Drosophila melanogaster: one gene and its partner. The protein of the gene in region 2 interacts with the protein of the main gene of each other region in a pairwise test. Each region holds a gene or a part of one and is shown on either strand. Other genes may lie near its edges.

Region 1 (8,033 bases), on a different chromosome or scaffold from region 2:
TTTTACTCATTGTCGTCACGTGCACGTGTATGTGTTGTTTGCGCTAGAATAGGTGCAACCCCAATCACGACTTTATCGATATATGCTTATCGAATGTCAGGGCTGGAGATAAGCATGTGGCGTTTGAAACAAATCATATTGTTATTCATGTTTTGAAAATATCTACAATTAATGTAAAGGTTGTTCTAATTTTGCCAACGATAACTACAAAACATATATGTTCTATCCAATATATTTACATACAGGGTATCAAATTTACAAATAAATTGGCAGTGTGGCCATACGTTGCGAGCAAAAATTACTGTACTTCAAGCATTGCCAACACAAGAATATTTTCATGGTTAAAAATTTTGGCGCGATAAAGCCGCAGTTTAAAATGTCAAAGTGTGCGCGTTCTTGGAGGTTTACCAAAATTTAGAATCATGCTTTTATTTATCGTGCATAAGTTGGTAAATTGGAATTAAATCAAGTTTTTTCCAATTTGTTTCTGGTGTGTCGTTTGTTTTGGGGTCTGTACGGCTGCTTTAATTAAAAAATATTAAAATGAAGCACGCTATTCTTTAAGGACTTTAAGGAAACGTACCTTTCTATGTTTGCCCAGGAGTTGATAGACGATATCAAGGCTGAGGATCGCATCCTACAATGTCCTTGGTGCGAAGAACAGACGTTGAGTCCATCAGCCAGCACCCGGAAACTTTTGTATTGGCTTTTAACGCTTTCAATTCGACTTTCAGAAAAGAGTCTCCTCGAAAATCACGACTGATATCCATGTAAATGAATCGGTAGATACTTGCACTTTCTTTTTAGTTATTAAAACTGACACACTGTCACTTTGCAGGTTTTAACCGCTGGCGGAAATGAAGAAGGAATCCGGGAATATTCATTTCAGTCCATTGTGGTGCACAGCGGAACTCCCCTCAGGAACAATCTTAGCCCACTAAACATCAATAAACTACTAAAATAACTTTGACTGCTGCTTAATTTCAAATATACATAAATTAATATTTTTTATTTTTAAGTTAAATTTTTTAATTCTTTTGGAGGCTCAAATTTTATATTTGGCGCAGCACTTTAATGTAGAAAATGTGAATAAAGAAATATTTCAAGGGTAAACAACAAAAAATGTTTTGATTTTGTAAAAAAAAAAACCTTAAAAATTATGAGGAGTTATAAAATAATTATCAGTTTCCGGAACTTTAAAATTCTTATCTTCAATTTGATCTTCAAGACATATTTTTCTTATAATAATATTATCAATAATATTATATAATATGTAACGGATATTTAAGTTCTTCATTTTCTTTTTCAGAAGTATTAACAAATGCATATATATAAATACATATATATTTATACAATAGAATCGCATAGGCATGAATTCAGCGCGCAAAATAATATAATTACAATAACATTGATATTATATAATAGATTATAATAATATACATATGTAAGTGTAAGTTATAAAATGGTAACAAAGTTCAACAGCTCATAGGCGAAGATCCAGTGGCACGGAATTTTCAATACAGCCAGGAGAACATCCTAATATTTTGGATAAACTCTTTGTGCCACTGTTCCGGGTGATGTGCATCATGTCCAGCACGGAGGACCTTATGTACCACTATTGCTGTTTCCTAGATTAGGATTCGCTAAAAGCTTAAATTGTAATTTCAGATTCCCAAAAATAGAAAATACCGCCAAAAGTCAGGGCAATGGCACTGCAGAAAGGATGCAGGATATTATATGTTCTTTTTGTTTTTCTCTCCCCAGAATTTGGCCCAATTAAATTTGGTATTCGAAAAAAAGAGCACGCCTCCTCCCCGAAACCGAAAAAAAACTCTGTGGCGCCGGGAACAAAAAAGAGCGCGAGAGAGTGAGAGCGCACACATAAAAAACATAAACAAGCCTTTTTCACTAGTGTGCGTTTGTGCGGAGAGAGAAGAGAGCGAAAAACAACTTCTGAAAAAAGACGCTCTTCGCTGTGATTTTTTTTCAGTCAGTTTTTCGACGGTCGTGAACACGAACAGTTATTCTAGCTCCTCCTGTTCTGCTGCTTCTGTTGGTGTTTTTTTGCGTTTGCCGCGACGTAAACAACCGAAGAGCGGAGCTTACGCCCCCAACTGCTCCAGCTCCACGCCCCCCTCGCAACGTGTTCGTTGTAAATGCAATTAATCGTTGTTGGTCGCTGAAAAAACTAATATTTCGGGAGTCCGATACAAGAAGGGCAAAAAAGCACAAGTGCAGAAAAAGCAAAAAAAAACATAAGCTTGCCGTGTGTGTGCGTTGGTGTGTGTGTGTATTTTTGGCGTGCGCGGCCATTTTTTCTTGTTGCCACTCGAGAGTCTCTTCTGTGTGCGAAAGAGAGGCCCGACGGCAAAGCAGAACGTAGCAAACTACGCAAATCCCCACTAAATTCGCTAATTTTCGCTAAATAAATCAATCGCAAGGGGTGCCCAAAAACAAACAAAAGTACGAAAATAGAGTGCCGCAGACCACAAACAAATCACCTGCGCCAGTGTGTGTGAGTGTGTCAGTGTGCGAAACAGGCAAGCTCCCAGGCGGGCTCCCACCCACAATCAGTCGGCGAACACGTGCTCCAAAATATCAACAAAAGTTGGCCCACAAACATAAAAAAGGGGGCCGCGACTGCATCCGAGACCCGAACGCCGGAACACAAAAGGCACTTTCAAATTGGTAAGTACTTTGCGCTGCACGAGCATGTTTTATTTATTTGCCTTATTGGTCAAACACACTTGCGATTGCGGTGTTTGTTTCTCTTTCCCGCGCTCACGCACAGTGGTCGCTTTTGTTATAATTGTGAGACTTGAAAACGATCGCCGTAAAATTCACATTTTTAACAAAATATTTACTGTTCGAAAGAGGGGTTTTTTGCGAATCGATGATTAGTTGACGTGTTATTATGAGAAAAACATAAAAGATTATAGGACATTATTTTTTTAAAAATGTTGCAAAAATGATTTAAAGTTTGCGATTTCCTTGTTAAATAACATGAAAGCGTTTACAGTTATTACTATTACAAAATTATAACGATTTAATATGCATATCCTTTATATATTAATTGCTACTTGAAAATTACCTAATGTAAAAACTTATATAAAGCAAATGAATTACAATTTATTTATTGGTTAGGACTCTATATCCTATTTTATAAAAAAAAAATAATAGCACAATTTCCAAAGTGTTTGTCCAGTGTTCCATTGGTCAAATACTTATTGTTTCCTTATTTCCGAATCTTCGCTATTTGGGGAATAAGTCAAAACCTTTAAACTCCAAACATTTGTAAGCCGAATGCGACTGTCAACAAATAATTAAACCAGAATAATTTCAAAAGCGTTTTGCAGTCGTGCCGCACTACTTGACCATTCCGTTTAGTCGCTTGTTTGACTTTTTATGCTCGTTCCCATTCATTTGGTGGCGGTTTTTTTTTCATTTGTGTTTGTGTGTCGATGTCTTTTTATCTTCCACTTTTTTCGTACTCATCAAATATTCGCTTCTTTTTTCGCACACATGTCGCCCCCAACAAAAGAGAGTGAGAGAGCAGTCCGATTGCGGTTGTTGCGCTGTTGTTGTTGTTCGCTCGCTCGTTCGTTTGTTTATGCTCGCTCTTTGCTCTCTTTTGTTTTCAGCTGCTCGCGCTCAATTAATTTTCGTTGATTCGTTTTTTGTGTGTAGGTTTTTTGTGTATACCATTTTATTTATACGCTTTTTGGGCTTCTCTTTCTCGTGTTTTTCTTTTTTGGGGTTTTCTTCTTTTTTTTTTTGTTGTATTTTTGGGGACTGACCGATTGCGTTTATTTATCCCCAATTTCCCCATTTGCATTCATTATGTTGAGCGGTCAATTTCCCGTGTTTCTGGATCTGTTGTTACACGGTTGCGATTACGATTCCGGCTTCTGTTTTATATTGCTCGCCACTTTCGCTTATTTCATATTACAATTGTTTGTTCGGCAAACAATTGTTTGCTTGTCGCCCCGTCTCGCTCTAAATGTGCGCAACAAGCGAGTGGCGCGTCCTTTTATTTTCTGCATTACATGGCCGCCCTCCCCCTCCCCATCTTTACACAGAATTCCTGCTACCATGCTGTTCAATTGTCCAACGTCAGCATTAACAACAACAACAACAAAGGCAGAACCGGTTATTTTGACCAGGCAAAACCAAAAAAAAAAAAGCCAAAAATTGAATTTACCTCTGACGTCAACACCCACCCGACCAAAAGGTCGTATTCAAATTCGCGCTCAGAATACAGTTTCCATTTCACAAGACCTGATTTTGCGATTTATATGCAACTATTTACTTATAATGCGTTATGCACATAAACCAATGTTGTTTAAATTAATTATGGAATACTTGGACATTTTTACAGACATAAATACATGAGTTTGAAAACCTTATTTCGTATCAAAAGTCACGTGTTTTATGCACATTATAAATATTTCGGAGACTTAAAATTAGTTAGTTAAAAGCCAAAACTGAATCCCAATTCGCATAATAATACCGACATTTTCTAGTGAAGATAAAAGCTATGATTAAAGATTTGAGTAATGACTTTTGCCTGTTTATTTGTAATGATACTATAGTTATTTGTATTTGTCAAATTTCAAATTATTCGTATGTTTGCATGAATGCACTAATATTTTATAAATATTTTTAAAACAACGCATTTAATGTTTTTAATTGAGCAATAATTGCGACGCATTGTTATTCAGCGAATTATCAATTATTCATCCCAGCTGAAATATTTAAACGCCCTTAAAAACTTTAAGTTTCATTACATTTTATCGCAACGTATTCTTTTCAAATACGCTTCCGTTTTGATTTAACGAGCAACAACTTCTGAAATAGATAATATATTCTAAGAAAATTGACCATTTTGGCGTAATTTAAAGTAAGATATTATTAATTCTTTTTAACTTTGACTTAATATAAGTTTGGAACACATTCTTTTCATGTGTTTTTTACTGTTGCATGGAAATCCCACATTTTAAGTAATTCATTTGGGATTTACAGACCAAGAACATCAGTGGTCCATTGGAAACCCGGCTGCATCGCCCTAAAAAGTGGCAGAGATGTAGTTGCATTCAGTTCTCGAGGTTGTTGACACGTTCCGTTGGCGCCCCTGACGTTTTTTGCCTTTTTTGCTTTTTTTTTTTTTTTTGCCTGCCCATCGTCACCTGGCCACAGAGTAATCGCGATTTTGGTTCTTCGGGCCAGAATGCGATTCCATTTCGCTTTCCATCTGGTGGTTGTCACCAACAATTTCTGGCCGCAAGCGCCTTTTTTGTTTATCTTGTGATTTTTTCCGTTGACTAACTCTTTTTTGCCCGGCATTGTTATTAATTCTCTGCGCTTTTTGCGCCCCATTGGCAACTTTTTACTGGGTTGCAACAGTTGTGCTTTCAGTCAGTACCTTCTGCGCGCAGCACGTTTAATTCACAAACAATTAATTAATTCATGCATATTTATGTTAATGTGCAGAAATTAATGTACCCAACGGCGGGGAGTGGAGCGGCCAAGTGGCAGAATCGAAAAGTAGTTTAAGCACTTGTGCCGACTGGGCACAAATTTGTGGATTCAAGAATTACAATATTTCTGTACTTTCAGCACAAAAACGCGCCGAGTTGTGTAAGCCCGCCGCCAGTGAAGTGTCGACTTCCCGGCGACGAAGACCGCAGCAATATTTCCACTAGCCAGTAACGCACAGGCTCGTTCCGCCGCTGACGACGACCCCAAACTGGACGCCCGCACCATCGCCTACCGCCCGCTGACCCTTGGCGGCCACCAGACGCCGCTTATGGCCGAACTGCCGACGGCGCCGAACGGCGTCCCCAGCGGCGATTATCTGCACCGCTCCATCGATCAGCTGCGTTCGCTGGGTCATCTGACCACCGCCCAATTGGTTCACGACTACAAGCCCTTCAACATTAGCGAATTCCGGCAGAATGTCGCTGAGCGACTGGACTACTCGCTGAAGAACGGCCTGGTGCAGCACCAACAGCAAATGGTCATGGAGCAGCAGCCACATCCCGATCAGCAGCAGCAGCAGCATCTGCATCACCCGCAACAGCAGCAGCACCCGCCGCAGCTGAAGGTCAGCTACAGTGCGCCCAACTCGCCGCCCACTCCACACGAGCAGCAGGAACAGAAGGTAATCACTTATTTCAATATTGAAAAAATATATCATACGCATATAAATGTTACTGATATGATACTTAAATTGCGATCTTAATATTTCTTCGGTCAAAGATTATATGACTTTGCTTTAGTAACCCATTCATCGTGTACTTAATACTAAACGATACCCTTAAAACGTTCTATCTACTTCCAGTACGACCCGAATCGATCGCCGCCGCGTCAGCAGATGAGCAGCGCTAGCGGCAGTGGCAGCAACGGCTCCTCGCCTGAGGAGGAAAGCCGACGGGGAGACGGTGATCAGGCCAAGCCCTACAAGTGTGGCTCGTGCAGCAAGTCCTTTGCCAACTCCTCGTACCTGTCGCAGCACACGCGTATCCACCTGGGGATCAAGCCGTACCGCTGCGAGATATGTCAGCGCAAGTTCACGCAATTGTCGCATCTCCAGCAGCACATCCGTACGCACACGGGTGACAAACCGTACAAATGCCGGCACGCCGGCTGCCCGAAGGCCTTCTCGCAGCTATCCAATCTGCAGTCACACTCGCGTTGTCATCAGACGGACAAGCCGTTCAAGTGCAACTCCTGCTACAAGTGCTTCAGCGACGAGATGACCCTGCTGGAGCACATTCCCAAGCACAAGGACTCCAAGCACCTGAAGACGCACATCTGCAATTTGTGTGGCAAATCGTACACGCAAGAGACCTACCTTCAGAAACATCTGCAGAAGCACGCAGAGAAGGCGGAGAAGCAGCAGCATCGCCACACGGCCCAGGTGGCTGCCCACCAGCAGCACGTACCGGCGAGCGGCATCGGCTTGAATTTGCAGCGCCAGGCCATGAACGATGTGAATGCCGCATATTGGGCCAAAATGGGCGCAGACAGTGCGGCGGCTTCGCTGGCGGAAGCCATTCAGCAGCAGTTGCCGCAGGCCGGCGGTCAGCCGTATGGCAACTTTGCATCCCTGCAGCAGCAGCATCAGCAACAGCAGCAGGAACTGCTGCATCATCAGCGATTGGCAGACACGCCGGGGCATTCGCATAGTCCTCACGAGGAGGCCGCGGGCGAGGATCTCGTCCTGCGCCAGTCAACACCACAACATCACCTTCAGCAACAACAGCAGCAGCAGCAACAGCAGCAGGCCCAGCAGCAACAACAAGCGCAGCACCAGCCATCGCCTGGACCGGGAAACTCGGCCTTCACTCCACTGTCGGCGACAGTGGCTCCACCGCCACATCTTCAACAGCATCGCGGTCCGCCAGGATCCGCCGCTGCCTATCTGTATCAGCAGAATGCGGCGGCAGCAGCAGCGGCTTTTCCCACACAGCTCATCTCGCTTCACCAGATCCGAAACTATGCCCATCAGCCAGGAGCGGCGGGTCTCATCGCTGGCGATCATCTCGCCTTGGGCCTGAGCGCTGTTAATGCCGCCAAAGAAAAGGCGCAATAGTACAGGCCGTCAGGTCGGGGCCAAAAGAGGCAGCAACGATGACATTAGCTTAGGATCAACGTTTAAGTTGGTATGGATACAAGAGCGTGGTATTTTATTCTCTTTGAATCCATACCAATTGAAACACTGAAAGTAAAATAAGTTACTCATAGTTTCCAGTTGGCAGTGGCATAGGAGCTGGGATTGTGACTGGTTTTTCTTAAGCATCCTTCCAACTTCCAAATTCATCATGAAACTTGTATACGATTCGGCCAAAATCAACTCCATCACTGCCCAAAACCAATAAGAAAATCAACTGCAATCCTACAGTTTCTGTGCTATTTTCAACTGCCATATGAAAGTAATATGTAATATCTAGATCAACTCAGGATTTTAAATACGATAATTATGCACACTTTTAGATATCTATAAGCAATATTCAAATTAAAACCTTGAACTA
Region 2 (3,295 bases):
TGCTCATCCAACTCCTTGACTATTCGGGGCTGTAAGGAAAGGGAATCTCTTAGCAATGTTATTGGGCTAGCTCCAAACCATGAATCCCATACGAGTGCATACAAATCAAATCCGATCCCAGGTCCAGCTGGATTTTTGGACTCTACTCGTATAGGGTCGGTCAGTACATAATGAATTTGTGAACCTGTAATTGCGTTTCCCAACGGCGGACAATCAGCTGCTCCGTGCCGGGATCGACGGCACAGACCATATAGCGATATTCCGTGTCACAGTGACGCGGAATATAGATCTCTCCTGTCCACAGATTACTATACTCATTGTCCTCCTCATTTTTGGACAAAATAGCCGCTCCCGAGTGCTGCCAGTTGCCCAGCGCCTCGCAATTACCCACTATGGCCAACTGCTCGTTGGGCGCCAGATCCTGGTTCATCAGCACCCGAAAGGTCCACAGTCTGTTGGTGGTAATGTCGCCAAAGATCCGGCGGGACTCCAATCGACTGCCGTTTTCCGAGGACGCAGGACAGGATGATGGCGCAGCCATCGCATCCTCATCGCCGTTATGTGAGGCCAGCCAGTTGTGCATTCTGTGGGGATGGATAATAATTAATATCTATATATAATCCTTAGCTATATACACTTTGAATAATAGTAGTTAGCAGCAAAGAACTAAACTAATTGTTGAAACTCAGTATAATTGTATTGTATTGCATGCGCACAAGTAATTTATGCCAACTCTCTCTTTTTTTCGAGTACTACTGTGCTCGTTAGCGTATACGCACTGTACTTCAATTATTTTCAGCTGCGGTCACAAGTTGTTTATTGTATCGAGCGCAAGTAATTCGAAGATATTAACACAACATTAATTTCACTTGCAGTCCGCAATTGTTTTTGGTTTCCCTTATCAGTGGATGACGTAAATAAATAACTTGTATCACTTACTTTGCGTTGTTGTGTGCTGAAATAGAAGAATAAGCCGAAATCGCTTTGTTTGGATTCGATTTCTCGCTCTCCTCCACTTTCTCTCTCTTTGATTTTCCTAGATTTTCTGTGATTTTCCTACGCGTACACGAAACTATAACAAACGTGTGCAAATTGAGGAGTCGCCCGATTTTTTGATCATAGCAGCTGTTTTTGGTTTTTGCTCACGGATTTCAGCTAACAACACATGATGTTTTTCTCTTTTCGTGGCGGGGGGGCTTAACTCTATAATGTGGATATAACTTTATATTATCTGAACGATTTCAGCGCCGCAGGGGCTTCCGATCCCCTTGAAACTGTGAGTTGCATTATTTTGTTATCTATATATCCACTGACCGATTCTAGCGAGGGATGTGAAAAGTATTTGAATGTCAAGATATCGATAGGTTTTTGATGAAGTAAATATTTTCACAATGCTAAATGCCTAAAGCACTTAAAAATAGTAGATGCCTTTTTAGATATATACTACATACTACTTACTTACACGCACTTAAAATACAAGTTTTATATTTGATATTTGAGCGCATTCTCACAGGTTGGCAACGCGAACAGCTGATTTTTAGGGTGACCGTCTTCCGCAACAGAGTATCTCACAGTTTTCGAAAAGTATCTCAGCAATTTAGGCAAAGTTTCTGAACTTTCAGTTACTACTTAATAAAAAGTTTGTTGGTTGTTTACCTAGCTCAAGAGATTCTTTCAGATTTAATTTAATAAAACCGGTAGCTTAGGATTATAAAATTAACTTTGACTTTATTTAATGTCCCTCCCGCGCGAATGCAGCTTAGTAAAAATGAGTCATAGTGTTCAGATCTGCCTACATTCCAGAAGCTTGCAGTATTCAGTAGACATCAGTCGAGCGCAGAAGCTCTTCGTGATAAGACGTCTTCAATTCAAATTTTTTTTATCGAACACACCATGGAGGGGGACAAGGTAGTTTTTCATAGTTCTGATCTACCATACGAATATTTATACGACGACGAAAAACACGTTTCGCACATGCCGGATTCCAAATTAAGTGTACGAAATATTTTGGATTCAGCTTACGCTTCTGCTGAAGGCAAAATTATAACTAGGAAACTTTCGCGCAGCATTCCGCCGTATCCGCATGCTGTTCGAGTAAAAAATGGCATTCGTGTTTATGAATACAGTGAGCCCAGAAAACAGAGCTACAAATCAAGTTTATGGAAGGAGGCCTACAATGTGAGTAGGAATCGAAGAACACATGCTGGACATTTTACTTGCTTTATTTCAGATACTCCACCAGCGGTTGGATATTGCCGAGCCAATCGCAGCAAAGGAACACGTGAGAACGCAGATACATCCGTGTCTGCACAAGATCAAAGGACTTCTAGATCCGGAAACCTGCATCAAGTGTCCGCGGTGTCATAAGTCCATTTCGTCCACCAAAGTTGTGAAAAGCTTTGCATAGTGACGAATGCAAGCCACCTTCAACATATATATCTATTATAGAGGTTCAATATATGCTCAAATCAACACATGCATTTATATATATATATAATATAAACAAAGAATGCAACAGCCCTACAGATGAATCGTCATTTTCTTCTGTCATTTTGCTAGCTGTAATTAAAAGGGAACGGGAAATGTGCTCTCGCTTACTGATTATAGATAATGACTTTGATTTTGAAATAAGGAATGCAAAGAATACTCATTTTCGTATTCACTTCCATTTTGGCGGACTTTCTTTATCAGTAAACAAAGTGGAAGAAGAAGAAACGAGAAAGGTAAACAAGTCAATACAAAACAGTTGTTTGGAAAATGTGCCATAGTTACCAAGTGCCTGCACCAATTTTAATATCAAAACCAATTATTGAAACTAGTTATATAAGTATTTTTATTTACATTCAATGCATTTATAAATAAAATAAATCAAATAATTTAAGCTTACTAAATCAATCAGCTTGTGACAGCCATCACTTTGATAACGATAGTTGGCAACTCTGCCATCGAACAGCTGTTAATGTTTGCCATTTTGGCGCGAAAATACCAGTGTAACAATTTGTTTATATATAATAGGATTTTATTAAGTTGTTTGTTGGACGCTCGTTTGAAACCAGTATGGATCAGTATCCGGACGAAAACGAGGAGTTCGAGCTGCAATACCAAGACGAACTAGAGCTGCTGGAGGACTTGCCGGACGAGTTTAACGCGTACGATGGACCGAGCACATCCAAACAGGCCGCTGAAAAGCAAAAGGAAAACAGAGCTCCCGTTGCGGCACTAAGAGATAGCACCCGTCTTGGAAACTCTACACTGGGATCGCCACAGCTGTCGCAGATTACCTTTGGAGCTAGCC

Evidence for each region.
Region 1: the proteins of CG31955 (region 2) and sqz interact in a two-hybrid assay, tested with the Drosophila melanogaster proteins (one large-scale study listed by BioGRID).

What each region holds. Positions count from the first base shown.
Region 1 is NT_033777.3:19,162,229-19,170,261, forward strand, and holds the start of sqz (squeeze), read left to right. Parts: upstream 1-1,982; 5' UTR 1,983-2,688; intron 2,689-5,616; 5' UTR 5,617-5,806; coding exon 5,807-6,160; intron 6,161-6,340; coding exon 6,341-7,594; 3' UTR 7,595-8,033. Other genes in the region: Nsun5 (Nop2/Sun-like domain containing protein 5), read right to left, coding at 1-10. UniProt on the Drosophila melanogaster protein: Transcription factor involved in neuronal fate specification. First required in embryonic CNS development to define the number of cells that express apterous (ap) in the ap thoracic cluster of interneurons.
Region 2 is NT_033779.5:3,711,381-3,714,675, reverse strand, and holds CG31955 (uncharacterized protein), read left to right. Parts: upstream 1-1,809; 5' UTR 1,810-1,893; coding exon 1,894-2,178; intron 2,179-2,230; coding exon 2,231-2,407; 3' UTR 2,408-2,450; exon of another isoform or gene 2,451-2,522; intron 2,523-2,607; 3' UTR 2,608-2,795; downstream 2,796-3,295. Other genes in the region: CG2818 (uncharacterized protein), read right to left, coding at 1-29, 185-583; cutlet, read left to right, coding at 3,058-3,295.